Linked DNA regions of Notamacropus eugenii. The protein of the gene in region 1 purifies or fractionates together with the protein of each later gene. This does not show direct contact. Links are inferred from orthologs where the notes say so. Each region holds a gene or a part of one and is shown on either strand. Other genes may lie near its edges. The genes, in order: PKMYT1 and CCNB2.

Region 1 (8,352 bases):
TGAAAACCAATTTTGTGGATTTTCTGAGACTGAACTCCCCATTTGGGGACTATGAAGAAGCAAACACTCCAGAAGAGAGTATCATGACCAAATTAGGAATATATAAACAGAACAATTTAGAGGTAAGCTAACTATCACAAAGTTAGGACAAGATTGCTGTCTTTTAGTTCAGGGCTACTTCCTCCAAGAAGCCTTCCTTATCCTTAGTTATTAGTACTCTCCCTCCTTGAATATTCCTATTTTGTCTCATTTCTCCTTTGCCCCTTTCACTCCCTATCATATTTTACTTAACTGTGTACATGTCATATCACCCTAGTAAAATGTCAGATCTTTGACGACAGAAACTGTTTGTTTTTTAATCTTTAAATCTTCAGTGCCTAGCACATTACTTTGCATACAGTATGTGTTTAATAAATGAAGTTAATTCCATATACTTCTAAGCATATTATTTCTGAATTTGAATGTTTACTTGTCCTTCTGAAATAAACCTTTAAAAAATGTGATTCTGTGTTTTGATATATGCGGAAACAGGGGAGAGAAGGGAAAAAAGGAAGTATGTGTCAGAAATGGGCACCAAAATATGGTATCAGCAGAACATCAGTAGAAGGGGAAGTGGTTTGGGGACTCTGTGTATGTAGTAGATTTTTAAATTTCCAGAGCCAAACAGGGGAAGGGATTAGGAAGTTCCAGAAACTCAGGACTAAGTTTCAATTGGAGTTGGGTCATTAGAAAATTTTTGAACATAGTAAAAGGAAAAAGCTCTGGATACAAAATCAAGAACAGTGTATCAATTTCATTTGAAAAAGCTATTTCCAAGCAGAAGACTTTGAGACCTGCAACACAAGGCTAGAACCTTTATTAGGAGATGGGGCTCTAAGTAGAGACATAACTGGCTTCCTTGAAAGAACTGATCAGAAGAAAAGAGGTGGAATTTAATTATGGGACCAAGGAATCCCCATCTCTCCACTCACCTTGAAGACTTCCCCAAAGGAACCCCGTCCCAATCGCCCAAGTCTCTGGAAACTCTGCTGAAAGAAAGACTCAGGCCGGTCTGGGTCATAGCCACGGCTCTGCAATGCTCCTGGGGGCCCACCTCGAAATGAAACTCCTCTGGGTCTGGGCTGGCTCCAGCCTGGAGTTCTAGGGGGAAAGAAGCGACTAACAGAACCACTCCCTTTGGCAGGAGGCCGTGGTGGTAGGCTTCTGTTCAGGCCCCCAGGCCTCTTAAGAGAGAAGCCAGGCTCAGCATGACGAAAGTAGGCAGGAACAGGCACAGGAGTACCACTGAGGGGTGGAGGGGTCCCTTCTGTTGGGACTGGCATGACCAGCAAAGGAGACCCTACAAAACAAAGGAAGTCAGTAACTACTAAGAGTAGGTTAAATTGTCATAAGAAATAGCTCACAAATGACAAAACTTCAGTCTTCTCATTGTTTATAGAATTAGGATTAAATTATTTTAGCCCTCAACACTTTCCACAATCTGGCACCAACTTACATTTCCAGTCATTTCTCATTATATAACCCTTCTGGCATTCTACATTCCTGGACTATTCATCATTCTTCAATATTATTATATTCAATATATTCTCCTCAGCCCATGCTGCCCTCAATCCCTCAGAATGCAACCTCTACACATCTCTACATGTGGAAATTCTTCCATTCTTTCAAGACCCAACTCAAGCGGTCCTTTTCTTCATGATAATTTCCCCCATCTCCCAGCTAGAAATGATTGCAACCTACCCTAAATCTCTCCTGTCATTCTATCTGACCCCTCCTATCCACTTAATCACATTCCAACATATAGATATCTGTGTATGTGTCTTATCCCCTGACCAGATTGCAAGCTTCTGTTGGAATGTGTCAGCCACCTTTTTTGTATCCCCAAGGACAAGGACCAATTTTTGAACATAGTAACTACTTGGAGTAAATGTTTTGCTAAATTGAAAGCAAGCAGAAGGCCTGGATCACAGGACAGGGCAGCTTGCATTGAAGAAAGAAATCCTCCCAGAACACACAGGCACAACAAAATAAGCCCAAACAGCACAGGATAACCCTCAGTTAGGCCTGCTCAGAACGGCTTCAGAACCAGTCACTCCCTCCTCTCCTCTAGGAATTACAAGTCCCAGCTCCCTGGCTACCATGTCAAAGGAGCCGGACTCCACCACACTCCTCCTGTGTCCCTTCTAGACCTTGGACATCCTGGCAAACCAAATGCTACACACGTCCAGCCAAAAGGAGGTGGCTACAGGGGACACATTCCTCAGAAAACAACAAGAGTTCACAAAACGGGCCGGGTTTGGTGCATCGGCTGCCGGGGCGGGAGGCGGGAATGCCCGTCATTCGGGGGCCCAGGGTTACTACTGGAAAGGAGTGCGGGGGCCAGGGAAGCTGCTACTGGAAACGAGGAGACTGAGTTTCGGGGTCCACGAAGGAGGAGAGTGAGAACGGAAGGGAACAGGGTGCCTGTTACCCAGGGTGGGAAAAAGGGGCTCGGGTCAAGGAAAGATCCTGGAAGGGGAAGGGCGGCCAGAGGAGGAGGAAGCAGGAGGAGGGAGGAGTGTGGGGAGGGGAGGGTAAGACCAAGGGATGGTCCGTCAGGGAGTGAAGGGCAGGGCAGGGGCCGAGTAGGAGGAGAAGGGGAGAGGCTGTCGGGCCAGGGAAGGGTTGGGGGCCCCCGAAGGAGGGCTGCTCAAGAGAGGGAAGGGAAGAGGAGGGGCCGAGGGAGGAAGAGCAGCCAGGGAGGGGCGGGGCCGGGAGACTGGGGGACGAAGAGCGATCTAGGAGGGGAAGGGGCTTGGGGGGCGGGGCAGAGGGAAGACCGGATGGCCAGGGTTGTCAGCGAGGGGACTAGGCTCTGAAGGAGGGGCTGAGGGCGGGCTCTGAGAGGGGCGAGCCCGCGGTACCTGGAGCTCGGGAGGCCAGGGCTGGGGCTGTTACCGAAGGTCAGGGGTCTCCTCAGGGTCAGGGGTCAGACGCTCACCACCAGGTGGGGCTCGGGCTCCTGCTCCGGGTGCCCCGGATGAGCCGGTTCGGCACGGGGCCAGCCTTCAGGGTCCCGCGCAGTGGGGGAGGGAGGAGGGACAAGGCAGGGGAGGGGAGGGTCCAGACGTCGGCCGGTTCCAAAGACTCCAGCGCGCGGAGGGGTCGGTGGAACTGGAAGGGTCCCATGCGCGCGCGCGGCGCCTTCTCGCGCCAAAAATTCCAAATGAGTCTCGTGGGCTCCGCCCAGGAATGCCTTTAGCCCCGCCTCCTCATGATGGATTCACCAATAAGTGGCGCCGCTTCTAGCCCGTCCCCATCACGTATCTCCACACGTAGCCGGGTGAGGCGCTAGGCCCCGCCTACTCGCTCCCTGGGCGACGTCAGTGAAGCCGCGGGGCGGGCCTTCCAGCTGAGAAGCCCCGCCCCTCCCGGCCCCACCCACCGTGGAACCAGCTCCGCAGGTACTTGGCTGGACGCTGCACGTGGCTGTCCCGCAGCCTCCCTCTCCCGGGCGAGAACTCCCGAAAGTCTGAGCCGGAAGGAATCCTGGGATGTAAAAGCTTGCTATCCAGTCCAGTCCACACGGGAAAGAGAATCTCCACAGAACCTGAGCAGTGGTCATCCGGGCTGTACTTGAAGACCTAGGATGAAGGGGAGCCAGCTGTATCCCGAGGGGAACATCTCTGTAAGCATTAAGAAGTTTGACCTGACATCAAGCTTGAATCTGGCTCTTTGCACCTTCCATCCCATTGTTCCCAGTCCCACCCTCCTGGCCAGAGGCAGCTAGGTAGGCCAGTGGATGGAGTTGGAGGAACATTCATCTTCCCGAGGTCAAGTCCGGCCTCAGACACTTACTAGCCGTGTGACCTTGGGCAAGTCACTTAACCTCTGTTTGCCTCGGTTCCCTCATCTGTAAAATGGGGACAATAATATCACCTCCCTCCCAGTAATATTTGTAAACCACTTAACTAGAGGCCTGGCATACTGTAAATGCCCTTCTAGGACCAAACAATATATCTAATCTCTGTCTTCCACATGGCAGCCTTCAAATACTTGAACACATGTATCCTTTTCTCCTGGAATTCTTCTCCAGGCTTGACATTCCTAATTCCTTCAACCAGTCTTCATAGGGCGTTGTTTCAGGCTCTGCATAGTCCCAGTGGCCCTCCTCTGGATACTTTTCAGTTTATCAATGATCTGTAATCGGTTATCTTAATGATCTAAGCCAACCGACCTCATTTTGGGAATGGGGACATTCATACTTAAAGAAGGGTCACACAGGAAGAAATGCAAAAAGATCCAGAGATGTCAATGGGACAATCAGTGATGGTAGGCTGCATTGAAAAGGAAAGACAAAGGACTTCTCTGTGGCACCCCAAGATAGGTCGGTCATTACCTGTCCTTCGCCTCTGTCTTGTCTCCTCTCGTGCCCAAGAATCACAGAAGCTCAGAATTAGAAGAGACCTCAAAAGTCATCTAATCAAACTTATGTCCAGATGACCATGCCTTCTGCAATATAACAAGCAAAAGCAGTCATCTGACCTGGCACAGTGTGTATAAAATGGGTTTAGAGTATGAGGAAGTAAGGCTTCAAATCTATCACCTCAGCTAACACTGTGTCATCATGAGCAAATTATTTACCTTTTCTAAGTACAAGTTTTCAATCTGTGAAAGGATTTAATCATGCTTGCAGTACTCACTGGGTTACTGTGAAGCTCAAATGAAATTGTATATGTGTGTATACATACATACATGCGTATGTACACACACATGTAATTTGTATACTTTAAAGATACTGTAATTGTTGAGTTGCTTTTCATTCTTGTTTGACTTCATGACCCCATTTGGGGCTTTTACGGCAAAGATAGTGGAGTGGTTTGCCATTTCCTTCTCCAGCTCATTTTACAGATGAAGAAACTGAGGCAAGCAGGGTTAAGTGACTTGCCCACAGTCGCACAGCTACTAAGGCCAGATTTTCAACTCAGGAAGCTATCTGGACTCCAGACCTTGATACTATATCCGCTTCATCACCTAGCTGCCCCAATGATATTATAAAGGGTATCCCCAAAAGTCCTCATGCAGCTTTAAGTAATTAAAGCTTTAATAGCTTATTAATTATTATTATCCAGACTCTCCTTGAAGACTTCCAGAGAGGGGGACTCCTTACTCCTCCACCCACCCTAAGGCACCCTATTTCCCATTTTGTGTAGGTTTAATTGTTAAGAAGTTTTTTTAATACCAAACTTAAATCTTCCACTCTTCAACCTCCACCCTATTGCTCCTATTTCTGCCCTTCATGTTCATATAGTTCCTGGATTTTTCTTGTCAGGTAGACTTCCAAATATTTTATATTGTCTACAGTTATTTAAATGGAATTTCTCCATCTCTTGCTGCTGGGTCATGTTGGTAATATATAGAAATGCCAGTGATTTATTTGGGTATATTTTATATCATGCAATTTTGCTAAAGTTGTTAATTATTTCAAGTAGTTTTTTAATTGATTCTCTAGGATTCTCTAAGTACACTATCATATCATCTGCAAAGAGTGCAAAGAGTGATAGCTTTGTTTCCTCATTGCCTATTTTAATTCTTTCAATTTATTTTCCTTACCTTATTGCTAAAGCTAACATTTCTAATACAATTATTGAATAACAGTGGTGATAATGGATATCCTTGTTTCACTCCTCATCTTATTGGAAATACTTCTAGCTTATCCTCATTATGTATAATGCTTGCTGCTGATGGTTTGAGATGGATGCTAATCATTTTAAGGAAAACTCCATTTATTCCTGTGCTCTCTAGTGTTTTTAATAGGAGTGGGTGCTGTTTTTTGTCAAAAGCTTTTTCTGGCATCGATTGAGATAATCATGTGATTTCTCTTAATTGTGGTATTGATATGGTCAGTTATTCTCATAGTTTTCCTAATATTGAGCCAGTCCTGCATTCCTGGCATAAATCCCACCTGGTCATAGTGTATTTATTTCTGCCCTCTGGAGCCAAGTAGAAGTCTAATCTTTGATCCCCATGAATGCCCTTTAAGTACTGGTATCTTTCATTAACAGGAAGAACTGAAAGTGACCTGGGGTTACATCTAGTCCAACTTGTACCCCAAAAAGTTTCCTCTACAAAATAAGCCAGCTAAGCTTGTTTTCTTCAACTAGCTTCATGTGTCATGGTTTCTATTCTCATCATCATTCTAGTCATCTTTCTCCAGCTTGTCAATTGCCCTTTGGGATGTTATCAATATTTACAAGGTTCGATCTTTCCTTCCACTTCCCCAGTTCTTCCCCTTACCTTCAGAACTGTGCACTACAGAAGCAGAATGAGAATATAGTGACTTGTCACCTGAAATGAGCCACTTCTAAAAGACAAATTGCTTAGTAAGAAAGCCATGAAGAACTATAAGGACAGTCACAGCAGAGTACCAATGAAACAACTTGAGAGGGACTTATCTTGAGTGGTAGCAGACTCTCTCTAGAGCCTAAGAACTTTGGAGAGAGACCTGCTGAAGCCGAGTCAAATAAGTAAATTGGTCACCGAGGGCCAAGTAATGACAACAGCCTGGGAAGCTCTATTGACGGGGTGGCATGCCTGCATCTTGAGTTTGTGATTGCTGGCGATGGAAGCTGAAGCAGATTTTGCTGAGCTGATTCGGTTCATCTTCCCCTTCAGACTTTTACTGTGAACAGGGAAAATTCAAACTATTAATGGGTTACAGCACAGGAGTTACTAAAGAAATGGTATGCTTTTTATTGGGGAAATGGAGCAGCTATCTGGGAAATCTCATTACTGTATTTTATCTTTCAGTAAATATACTTAAACTATAATTTGAGTATTTTTTGTCTTTGGATCACACAAAGAGATAAAATTAGTAATGGGAAACAAGACATGAGCTAAATTTGGAGATTTTCCCAAAGCTTAAACATCTGAGTAGGGGTAAAATACAAGCTGAAGTTCTAAAATAGACTTTTGAAACATTATGTACACATAGTTTTGCATCATTAAGCCCTCAACCAAATTGAAAGGAACCTAGGCCAAGGAAGAAGGGCATGTGGCTCTGTATTACATAAAGAGGAGGAAGCCTACTATATCTGACAGTTCTTTTCATATGTGGGGATTAGACATGTTTCAGCACCCCCTTTATAGGTGGAGTACTCTCTACCCTACCTACCTTTACACATCTGTATCAAAACCCTCATTTCTCTAAATTGTGATGCCTGGAACTGAACACAACATTTTACAGTTTGATCAAGATAGAATACAAAGAGATTATTGTCTCCCTACCTCTGAACACTACAATTCTAAATAAGTCTAGGATTGCATCAGATCTTTGATAGACCCCACTTTGAGACTTGCCTCAGAAACTTACTAGGTGTGTGACATGTCACTCAACCTCTCTTGTCTCAGTTTTCTCATCTGTAAAATGATTATTATAAAAGCACCTACCTCTAAGGGTTGTTGTGAGGATCAAATAAGATAATGAGTGTAAAGGGCTTTACAAACTTTTAAAACAACATATAAATGCCAGGTGTTCTTCTTGGGGTAGTTAGGTGGCACAGTGGACAGAGCATCAGGCCTGGAGTCAGTTGAAATCTGGCTTCAGACACTCACTAGCTATGTGACCCTGGGCAAATCACATAATCCTGTTTGCTTCAGTTTGCTCATCTGTAAAATGAGCCAGAGAAGGAAATAGAAAACCATTCTGATATCTTTGCCAAGAAAATCCAAATGGCATACATGACTGAACAACAGGAAAAAGTCATTTTCATCATCATAACATTGAGCTTGCAGTTCACAACAACTTTCAGAGCACAGACTTGTTTCTATCCATATCTCTTCCATCCTGTCCTTGTGAACCTTTTAGAAGTAAAGTGCAAACCTTATGTTACCCGTTCTAAATGTCATCAGTCCAACATTTTAGCCTGTTGAAATCTTTGTGAATACTGATACTTATCTAGTATGTTAGCAGTTCTTGTCAGTTTCATGTCATTTGCAAATTTAATAAGCATTCAATTTTTTCCTTCATCTGAGTTATTTGTTGAAACAAACTGTTAAGACTGCACAGGGCCAAGGGCTGATTTTAGGGACAATCCACTAGAGGGCTCCCCTCCAAATTGACAAAGATTCACTAATAACTATTCTTAAGGTCCAATTAGTTCTGTATTCACCTTACTTACTATCTTCTAAGACCACACCTCATAATATTTAGTTTTCCACAAAGATAACATGAGAGAGACTTTGTCAAATGTTTTACTGAAATCTAAATATATTCCATCTGATCAGTCAATATATATTTATTGAGTACCTGGTATGTGCCAGGCATGGTGCTAAGAAATGGGGATATAAAGAGGCAAAAGACAAACCCTGTCC
Region 2 (8,978 bases), about 81 Mb from region 1:
CATAGCAGAAAAAGGCAAATCTGGAAGCATTGCTGAAAGGGAACTTAGAAATAAGGTTTCTTTTCTCTGTGCCACCACTCTCCTCCTGGTCCCCCACCCTACAGACAAACATGACCCTTACAAATGTGCTTACAAATCTGGCACCAATGAATGAAAAAATGTTCAAATCAGCTAGAAGAGGCTCTTTCAAAGGGACAAATGACTTCCACTGCCACCCAGAAATGTCCTTTCCACCTTCTTTAGAATCTCTCTGGAAAAGGATCCCTTGAGAGTATTCTTAACATGGAATTAATTCAAAGATCTAGAATAAAAGGGTTTTTCACCCCCAACTGAATATTCAAGATAACCATGAAGTCAACGTTCTACAAACTCCCCAAAGTTGACCCATTAATCCATTTACATCTTAGTCTGATAAAGTTCTTATAAACTCTGTTATAAAAAAGGCTAGTGAAAAGTAACAAAAAATTTGCTTTGTGTCCCTTTCTGAATTCAACTATACTTACAAAACCCTAATAACTTTGTTTCCTTTTTCTTTTAAAGTCACCTGCTTTTCAACCTGCTCTTTAAAAAAAAAAAGAGCTGATGTGACTCATCTTTGAGACACTATACAAGCATCTGTGACCGAACTCTTAAGGGCTTGCCCCAAATCATCATTTATTTTCTTTTTTCTTTTCCCCCAATATATGTTTTTTTCCTTAATAGTATTTTTTCCAATTACATGTAAAGATACTTTTCAACATTCATTTTTCTAAAATTTTGAGTTCCAAAATTTTCTCCCTCCCTGCTACCCAAAAGAGCAAGCAATCTGATATGTTATACATATACAATCATGTTAAACATTTACACATTGGTCATCTTGTGAAAGAAGAATCAGAACAAAAGAGAAAAAACCACAAAGAAAAAAGCGTAAATAGTGCGCTTTGATCAGCATTCAGAGTCCATAGTTTTTTCTCTGGATGTAGTTAGCATTTTCCATCACAAGTCTTTCGCAAGTGTCTTGGATCATTGTATTGCTGAGAAGAGCTTAGTTTAACAAAGTTGGTCATCACACAGTGCTGCTGTTACTGTGTGTGTTACAGTGTTCTGGTTCTTCTAACTTCACTCAGCATCAGTTCATGCAAGTCTTTCCAGGTTTTTCTGAAGCCTGCCTGCTCATTTATTTTTATTTTTTAAAGTTAATTTATTTATTTTTAGTTTTCAATATTCACTTCCATAAGTTTTAAATTTTCTCCTCCTTCCTTCTGTCCTTCCCTCCCCAAGACAGCATACAGTCTGATATAGGTGCTACATAGACATTCCTATTAAACATATTTTCACATTAGTCATGTGGTACAGAAGAATTAGAACAAATAGGAGGAACCATGAGAAAGAAAAAAAAGCAAAAAAAGAAAAGAAAGTAATCTGCCTTGCTCTGCATTCAGACTCGGCATTTGCCATCATGAGTCCTTTGGAATTTTTTTAGGTCCTTGCATTGCTGAGAAAGGCTAAGTCTATCAAAGTCAGTCAATGCACACTGTGGCTGTTACTGTGTACAGTGTTCTCCTGGTTCTGCTCTCTTCACTCATTCATATTTTCATATTCATATATTCATATTCACTCATTCATATCCCTTCATATAATTCTTCCTGCTCATCATTTCCTTTCCTTTCCTTTCATTACATTCATATACCACAAGTTGTTCAGCCATTCTCCAGCTGATGGGCATCCTCTCAATTTCCAATTCTTTGCCACCCCAAAAAGAACCACTATAAATATTTTTGTAGTACATATAGGTCCTTTTCCCTTTTTTATAATCTCCTTGGGATACAGACCTAGTAGTGATATTGCTAAATCAAAGGGTATATACAGTTTTATAGATCTTTGGGCATAGTTCCTAATTGCTCTCCAGAGTTGAATCAGTTCACAATTCCACCAACAATGCATGTGTCCCAATTTTCCCACATCTCCAACATTTATCATTTGCCTTGTCATATTAGCCAATCTGATAGGTGTAATGTGGTATCTCAGAGTTGTTTTAATTTTCATTTCTCTAATCAATAGTGATGTAGAGCATTTTTTCATATGACTATAGATAGTTTTAATTTCTTCATCTGAAAACTGCATGGTCATATCCTTTGACCATTTATCAATTGGGGGATGACTTGTATTCTTATAAATTTGACTCAGTTCTCCATATATTTAAGAAATGAGGCCTTTATGAGAAATGCTACCTATAAAAATTATTTCCCAGATTTCTGCTTTCCTTCTAATTTTGGTTGTATTGGTTTTGTTTGTGTAAAACCTTTTTGACTTAATGTAATCAAAATTATCCATTTTGCATTTGATAATGTTCTTTCTTTCTTGTTTGCTCAGAAATTCTTCCTTTCTCCATGGATCTGACAGGTAAATCATTCCTTGTGCTTCTAATTTGCTTATGGCATCATCCATTATGTCTAAATCATGTACCCATTTAGATCTTATCTTGAACTAGAGCCCATGATATCTTTTTATGGCAAACACAGTGATAGCTGACATTTATATAGTGCTGAAAAACAGTATCTTTTATTGTCACTTAAGCTGGCAACAGATTTTTAGGCTTCCATATACATGACTGACTTAAATAGATCTCTTCCTCTAAAGTCTCCCAGATTCTGAAGAACTGCCTATTCACCCCACCCCATCTTTATACTTGGAAAAGCCTAAGTGTAAGACTGGATCTACACTAAATGATGTCATCTTGGATCCAGTTCAAAGTGATCTTTGTACATTGACCTGACATGTTAGCCATCCTTCCCCATTTTCTCAGGCAGGGCACTGAAAAGTCAGACCGCAGCATTCAGTGCGGTGAGGCAGTAAATGGCTTGCTGTAAAGGGGACTCTGAGTCAGATCAGAGTCTTGGCACAGAGTAAAGGCAGGGTGTGTGTGCATGCATGCGTGTGTGTGTGTGTGTGTGTGTGTGTGCGCGTGTGCGTGCGATGATTCAGATAAAGAGTTGTACCTGTGAGGAACTGCTCATTTCTATGAAGTGGCAGGCAATTTGCTTACCTTTGCTCCCCTGATTCCTATGATTCAGAGTCAAGCCCTGTTAAAGCTGTCCCCCCACTTTCTTCCCTCTCCTGACTCTCCTCATACTCTCATTTCTGTTCACCTCAGTCCTCCATTGTTCATATTCTCTTCTGCTTCACCATTCCTTTATATTCTCCAGAACAGAACCCCTTCTCTTTTGCTAAACAAGCTCCCCTTTATTCTGGATCTCTTTTGTTTAAAATCATTTTACTGAAGCTCTTTTTTTAGATGTATCATCATCATTTTCCAGTGACTTCTTTTGACCCCAATAGAAATTTCCCTTGTCACAAAGAATTACAGTTAAGCAAAACAAATCAACATATTGCTCATGTCTATCAAAAAAGTCTGCATTCCATTCTTATAGTCCATCACCTCTCTGCTGAGAGGAAGGCATACTTCATCAACAATTCAAGTGATAATTAGTCACTGCAGTGATCAGTTATTACGTCAATCAGTCATTTTCCTTTACCATTATGGTGACGTTTTTGTAATTTGTTCTCTTGATTTGCTTTGTTTTACAATAGTTCATACGTCAGAATGATCCTGTTGTCGAGGTCATACAATATTCTATTGAGTTCACATAAAACAATTTACTCAGCCACTCCCAAATTCTGCTTCCAGTTCTCTGCTTCCTCAAAACATTTTTCTATAAATATTATTTTCTATAAATATATTTATATAAATAAAAGTTTCTCTATAAATATAAATATATATACATATAAATTTTCCTTTGGCATTCTTGTAGTGTATTGCTGGCTCAAAGTTACTTTTTCTTGTATAATTCCAAATAATTTTCCAGAATCGTTTTTCCTGGATCTCTCAACCCACTTTCCTTCATCTCGCGTGAAGGGAAACCTAGCTGTCTCCAGGACACACTCATTCCATCTGTAAACTCTAAATATCTACCATTTTTTAAAAGCCCCAATGGAGAGGCCTGAACGCATCAGAAAAATAAAGAAAAACCTACGTCCCTGTGCCTATGCCCATACTTCCCATTCCCATCTACCTTGACGCCTTGATATTCTGGCCACCCCCGCTCCTCCTGAGTCTTCTTATTGTACTCCACGGGTTCCCTAAAAATCCCGAATTTCTCTCAGTTTCTCCTCTCCTTGGCACACGGCCCGTGGTTACCAGCCGAAATCAGGACTTCCGCACAAACATCTGGCGGTCTCGCTCCAGTCTTGGAGAACAGGGGCCAAGACCAAGAGGCTGGACGAAGGATCGGGGCTTGGGTGTCCTGGCTGACACGCAGCTGGACCCGTCGATGTTGGTCGTATTCCCGCATAGTTCTGTTTTAGAGAAGGCACACACACCGGATGCCATTAAGCCCAGGGCAAGAGCCTGCCTGGCTCCGGGGATGCCCGGCGGGCACCGGCTGGGGCCGCCGCAGTCTCCTTCGGGCCCTCTCGGCCTCGTGGGTGGGCGCAGCTGCGCTGTGGGCTAAGGCAGCTCCGGAGAGATGGCCTTCCGAACACGTGCCTTACACGTTCCTACTTCCCCAGGGCTGGGCACTGGGGCGCGCCGCCGCTGCCGAGCAGGGAAGGGGCGCCCGCGGCGGGAGGGCAGGAGCCTTCCCACGTCTGCTCGTTTCATCTGCCACCTGCGGGTGCCTGGCACTTCGCAGACGGTCCGTCAACGCGAGCGGACTTGCAGGGCCTGGCCCCCGCCCCAAGCCCCACGGAGGGGGAGCCCTTCCCATCCCCCCGCATCCCTTCTCGGGCCTGGGTGCCTTTTCTTTCTTTAGCAGGAAAGGCGCCCCCAAGGAGTTTTAAAGTTCTGATTATTGTAAGGGAGCAGGGAAGTCACGGAACGGAAGTGGGTGGGCATGTGCTGGGATGTCGGGGGGGCACAGGGAGGCTCCCCCCCGCGTCTTCCTTCCCAGGGGAAGCTGACGAACAAGGGGCCACAGCGCGTCATTTCCAACGCTAGCACAAAGAAGCCAAACAGCGTCGGCAAGAAGACCGCAAACTAGAAACTCCGATTTCCGGCTCAGGACACGGAAGAAGGAAATGAAACTCCCAGAAGCCTCCGCGGTTCTAGCTCCCGCCCCATCCGGTAAGAACCATCGCGAGATAACATCAGGCCCGGGTTTATACGAGGGGTGGGAAGCTTTCCAGTTTTCCATTTCCGTCCTTTGGTTCAGTTCCGTTTGGTTTCTGTTTCCTCTTGGCCACTTTTTAATTTACAAAACTTTTTTTACTCGGAAAATCTTCATATGTATGATATGTATTATGTATATATCATATATATGTACATATATCTATATATCTATATCCAGGAAAAACAATCCCCAATTGCTATGACAACCCAACGGGTCCTCGGAAACAGCCAATCAACGCGTAGCGGGAGGGGGGGGGGGGCGTCTGATCGGTCCGGCCAATGAGAAGAGCGGGTCTCCTGGCGGAAGGGCCAATGGGAGGGCGAGTGGTGCGGTTTGAATTCCGGCCGTAGGGCTGAGAGGCGGCGGCCGCGGCGTGATCTTGGGACCGCGTTGTGCGGCGGTTCGTGTTGCTTCTGTGTGTCTCGCCAGTTCCCCGCGGCCCCTGCTCCGGCCCGGCCCGGGCCCCATGGCGCTGTTCCGACGCCCCGCGGTGAGTCTGCGGCGTGGTGGCCGCGTCCTCGCCCCTTCCCCCGGCGGGGTCGCCCCGAGGCCTCGGCCGTCGCCTCCTCGTACGGTCCCTTCGGGGCGGCGGCTGGGGAGGGAGGAGGGAAGGAAGTTGGTGACGTAGGGCCTCTCCCAGGTCTTGATCCCCAAGTCCCCCGTCCGCCCTCCCCCAGAGGCGGCGCCGTCTTTTTGTGCGGAGGATCGGGGCTCGAACCCCAGCTCTTCCGCTGAGAGCCCCGGGGCCTTGTGCTCTAGGTTTCTCGTGGTCAGGCCCTCTCTCTTCGGCCCATCGCGTTCTCTGGCTGGATTTAGAGTCCGGGCGCGGAATCCTGTGGTAGATCCCCCTCCCTCTCCGCTCCCGGGGCCAGACCCCTGCGCCTCTGACTGAGCCATCCCCAGGCTCTGACTGTGTCACCACCCCGTACCGGGACGATTGCAGCAGCCTGTTGGGGGGGGTCTTCCTGCCACAGTCTCCCCCTCCTATCCATCCTTCGTTGAGTGCACAAGCAGAAGACTCAGCACGTCACTCCCCTGCTCAGTAAACTTCAGCGGCTCCCCAGTACCTCGGGATCCAGTGGGATTTGGCATTCCAAGCTCTTCACACCTGGGTCCCTTCCCACCTTCCCAGTCTTCCCAGACTTTACCCTTCTGCTTGTACTCTACTGCCCAGCTCCTCGTCTTTGCCGTCTCTCAAGAACTGTACTGCGTTAGTCCCTGGGGCTGAGCTTCCCATAGCACTTTCCATTTACTTTGTATACTCATTTTTTATTTTTATTTTTGCATGTATTGTCACCGTCTTGGAGTACTGGGCCCCAAAGCCAGAAAGATCTGAGTTCAAATCCAGCCTCAGACCTGTGTAAATCACTTCTCTTTTCTCTTCCTCAGCTTTCTCAGCTGTGAAATGGGGAGTGATACTAGCATCTATCAAGGTTGTAGTGAGAATCCAATAAGATATTATTTATAAAGTGCTTAGTGTAGTGCCTAGCACATATTAAATTAAGTGCCTGGCTCGTATTAAATGCTTCTTCTCTTTCCCCTTTATTGGAATGGTGCTGAGTGAGTTTGGATGACTAGTAGCTGGATGAGGAAGACCTCAAGGAGCTCCTTGAGGTCATGAACTGTGGTTTTGCCCTTTTTTTATCCACCCAGCTCATAATATAGTGTGCCAAGCACTGAGTAGATAAATAAATACTTATAGACTGGTTGGTGAGTGAACTATTGATTCTTTAGGAAAATCACTCTGGCAGCTTTATAGACGGTGGGATGGAGTAAGGTAGGGAGATGAATTAAGAGGCTATTTCAGTAGTCCACTAAATAGGATGAAGGCCTGAACTAAGGTGGTTGTTGAGGGAGTAGAGGTAAAGGAACAAATATAAGAGATGTGGAAGAAGAATGACAAACTTTAGCAACTGATTAACTATGTGTGGTGAGTGAGAGGAGTCAAAGGTAACTGAATTTGTCAACATGAATGACTGAAAGGATTGTGGTACTTTTGACAGTAACAGGAAAGTTTGAAAGGGGTAGGATTTGAGGGAAATATTTTGACTTGGAGATGCCTAGGAGACATCTAGTTTGAAAAGTCCAATATTGCAGTTGATGATGTGGGATTGGACCTTCTAAAAGAGACAGGCTGGATACATAGACTTAGGAAAACATGGAGACAGTAAATGTAAACGGGAAGATTGTGAGACATCCTGAGTGGATAGCATACAGGATTTGAAGCTGTTGCATGATCCAGTATCTGTTGGCTCTCCTAGATATAGTAGATTAAGTGGACCAGTTTCCATGTACTCAGTCACTAGTCAGCTTCTTTGGGGTCTAAGGCAGGAGCTCTAAAGATGAAGGATTCAGTTTTCCTGGGATTTGAGGCATAGATTCAGGAAAATCCAGGTCTTGTTTGGGAAGGTATTGGTCTAGGAGGGAAGGAACAAGTCTGCAGTGTCAAAGAAGAAATCTAAGGAGAGATTGAATGTTAGAGAGAAAGGAAGGATGATAGCAAGGACAGTCTGCTAGAGATGGGGGAGGAGAGGAGATAATCAGCTAGCACTGTATGTAAGCACTTACTTAGTAAGTCATTTTAGTAAGCACTTACTGTGTGCCTGCAAGTGTGCACTGGGAATGCAAAGAAAGGCCATAAATGCCTCTGTCCTTAAGGAGCTCACATCCTGATGGAATAGACATCTTAATAACTGGGTACATGCAAGTTGAATATAAATTAGGTCAAAGATAATCTGAGGGAAAGCACTAATTGGGAAAGGTAGGAGTTGAGCTGCATCTTGAGAGAGGCCCAGTAGAAGGCAAAACTTTCTAAGCAAGGGGGCAACTTCTAGGCATGGGACAGCTAGTAAGTTCAAAGGCCCCAGAAACAAGAAGAGGTGGAGTGACTGGTTAGAGGAAGTACATATAGGCTAATTGGCTTTAACAAAGTGTGTGGAGGAGGGTAAGGTGTGACAGGTCTCCAAAAGTAGGAAGATGAGATGGTATAAAGAGCTTTAAATGTCAAACAAGGGAGTTTAATATTTGATTGGAGCCCAAGCTGCAGGTGGAATGACATGGCCCAACCTGTTTCTTAGAAAAAAATCACTTTAGCAGCTGAGTAGGAAAACCAGTCAAAAGGTTATTGCATTTATCCAGACAAGAGGTGATGAGAGCCTCAGCCAGGATGGTGGTTATTAGAGTTGAGAGAAGTGGCTATACAGCAGATGTTGTAGAAAGTATAGAAAGTAGAAATGACAAGATTTGGCAGTGGGTTAGAGATATGTGGGGTGAGAGAGTACTCAAGGATGATACTGAGGTTGGAATCTGCTTGATGGTGGTGGTGCCCTCAAAGGTAATATGGAAGTTTGGAAGAAAGGAGAGTTTAAAGTAATAAGTTCTGTTTTGGATATGTTGAGTTTGATTTTTCTGTGGGATATACAATTCAAGATTTCCAAAAGGCAGTTTCTGCTTGCCTGAAACTCAGGAAATAAATTTGGGCTAAATATATTGATATGAATATCATTTGCATAGAGATGATAACTGAACCCATGGAGTCAGATGAGATCACCAAGTGTGAAAGGTTAGAGTAAAAAAAGGGCCGTGGACAGATCCTTGAGGGATAATATGATTAATGGGTATAATAGTCTCAGAAAGGAACCAGCAAGATACTGAGAAAGAAGAGGCCTTTTAAGCAAGGAAAACCTAAAGAAGGTAGTATCAAGAAAGAGGTGTCAATTCTTCAAAGATATCAAGAAGTATCAGGATTAAGAAGAGATCTTTAGATTTGGCAATTAAAAGAACTTTGAGAATGTTGGAAAGAATAGTTAAGAAAGCATTGGTTACTTTAAA

What was found.
Region 2: the proteins of PKMYT1 (region 1) and CCNB2 purify together in Homo sapiens (affinity purification with mass spectrometry; 4 studies listed by BioGRID and IntAct, with this or other methods). This does not show direct contact. The link is inferred for Notamacropus eugenii from reciprocal best matches to the Homo sapiens genes PKMYT1 and CCNB2.

Annotation. Positions count from the first base shown.
Region 1 is NC_092872.1:56,510,604-56,518,955, forward strand, and holds the start of PKMYT1 (membrane-associated tyrosine- and threonine-specific cdc2-inhibitory kinase), read right to left. Parts: upstream 3,206-8,352; 5' UTR 2,981-3,205; exon of another isoform or gene 2,904-2,980; intron 2,296-2,903; exon of another isoform or gene 2,139-2,295; intron 1,340-2,138; 5' UTR 1,323-1,339; coding exon 972-1,322; intron 1-971. UniProt on the Homo sapiens protein: Acts as a negative regulator of entry into mitosis (G2 to M transition) by phosphorylation of the CDK1 kinase specifically when CDK1 is complexed to cyclins. Mediates phosphorylation of CDK1 predominantly on 'Thr-14'. Also involved in Golgi fragmentation.
Region 2 is NC_092872.1:137,179,607-137,188,584, reverse strand, and holds the start of CCNB2 (G2/mitotic-specific cyclin-B2), read left to right. Parts: upstream 1-5,245; 5' UTR 5,246-5,613; coding exon 5,614-5,637; intron 5,638-8,978. UniProt on the Homo sapiens protein: Essential for the control of the cell cycle at the G2/M (mitosis) transition.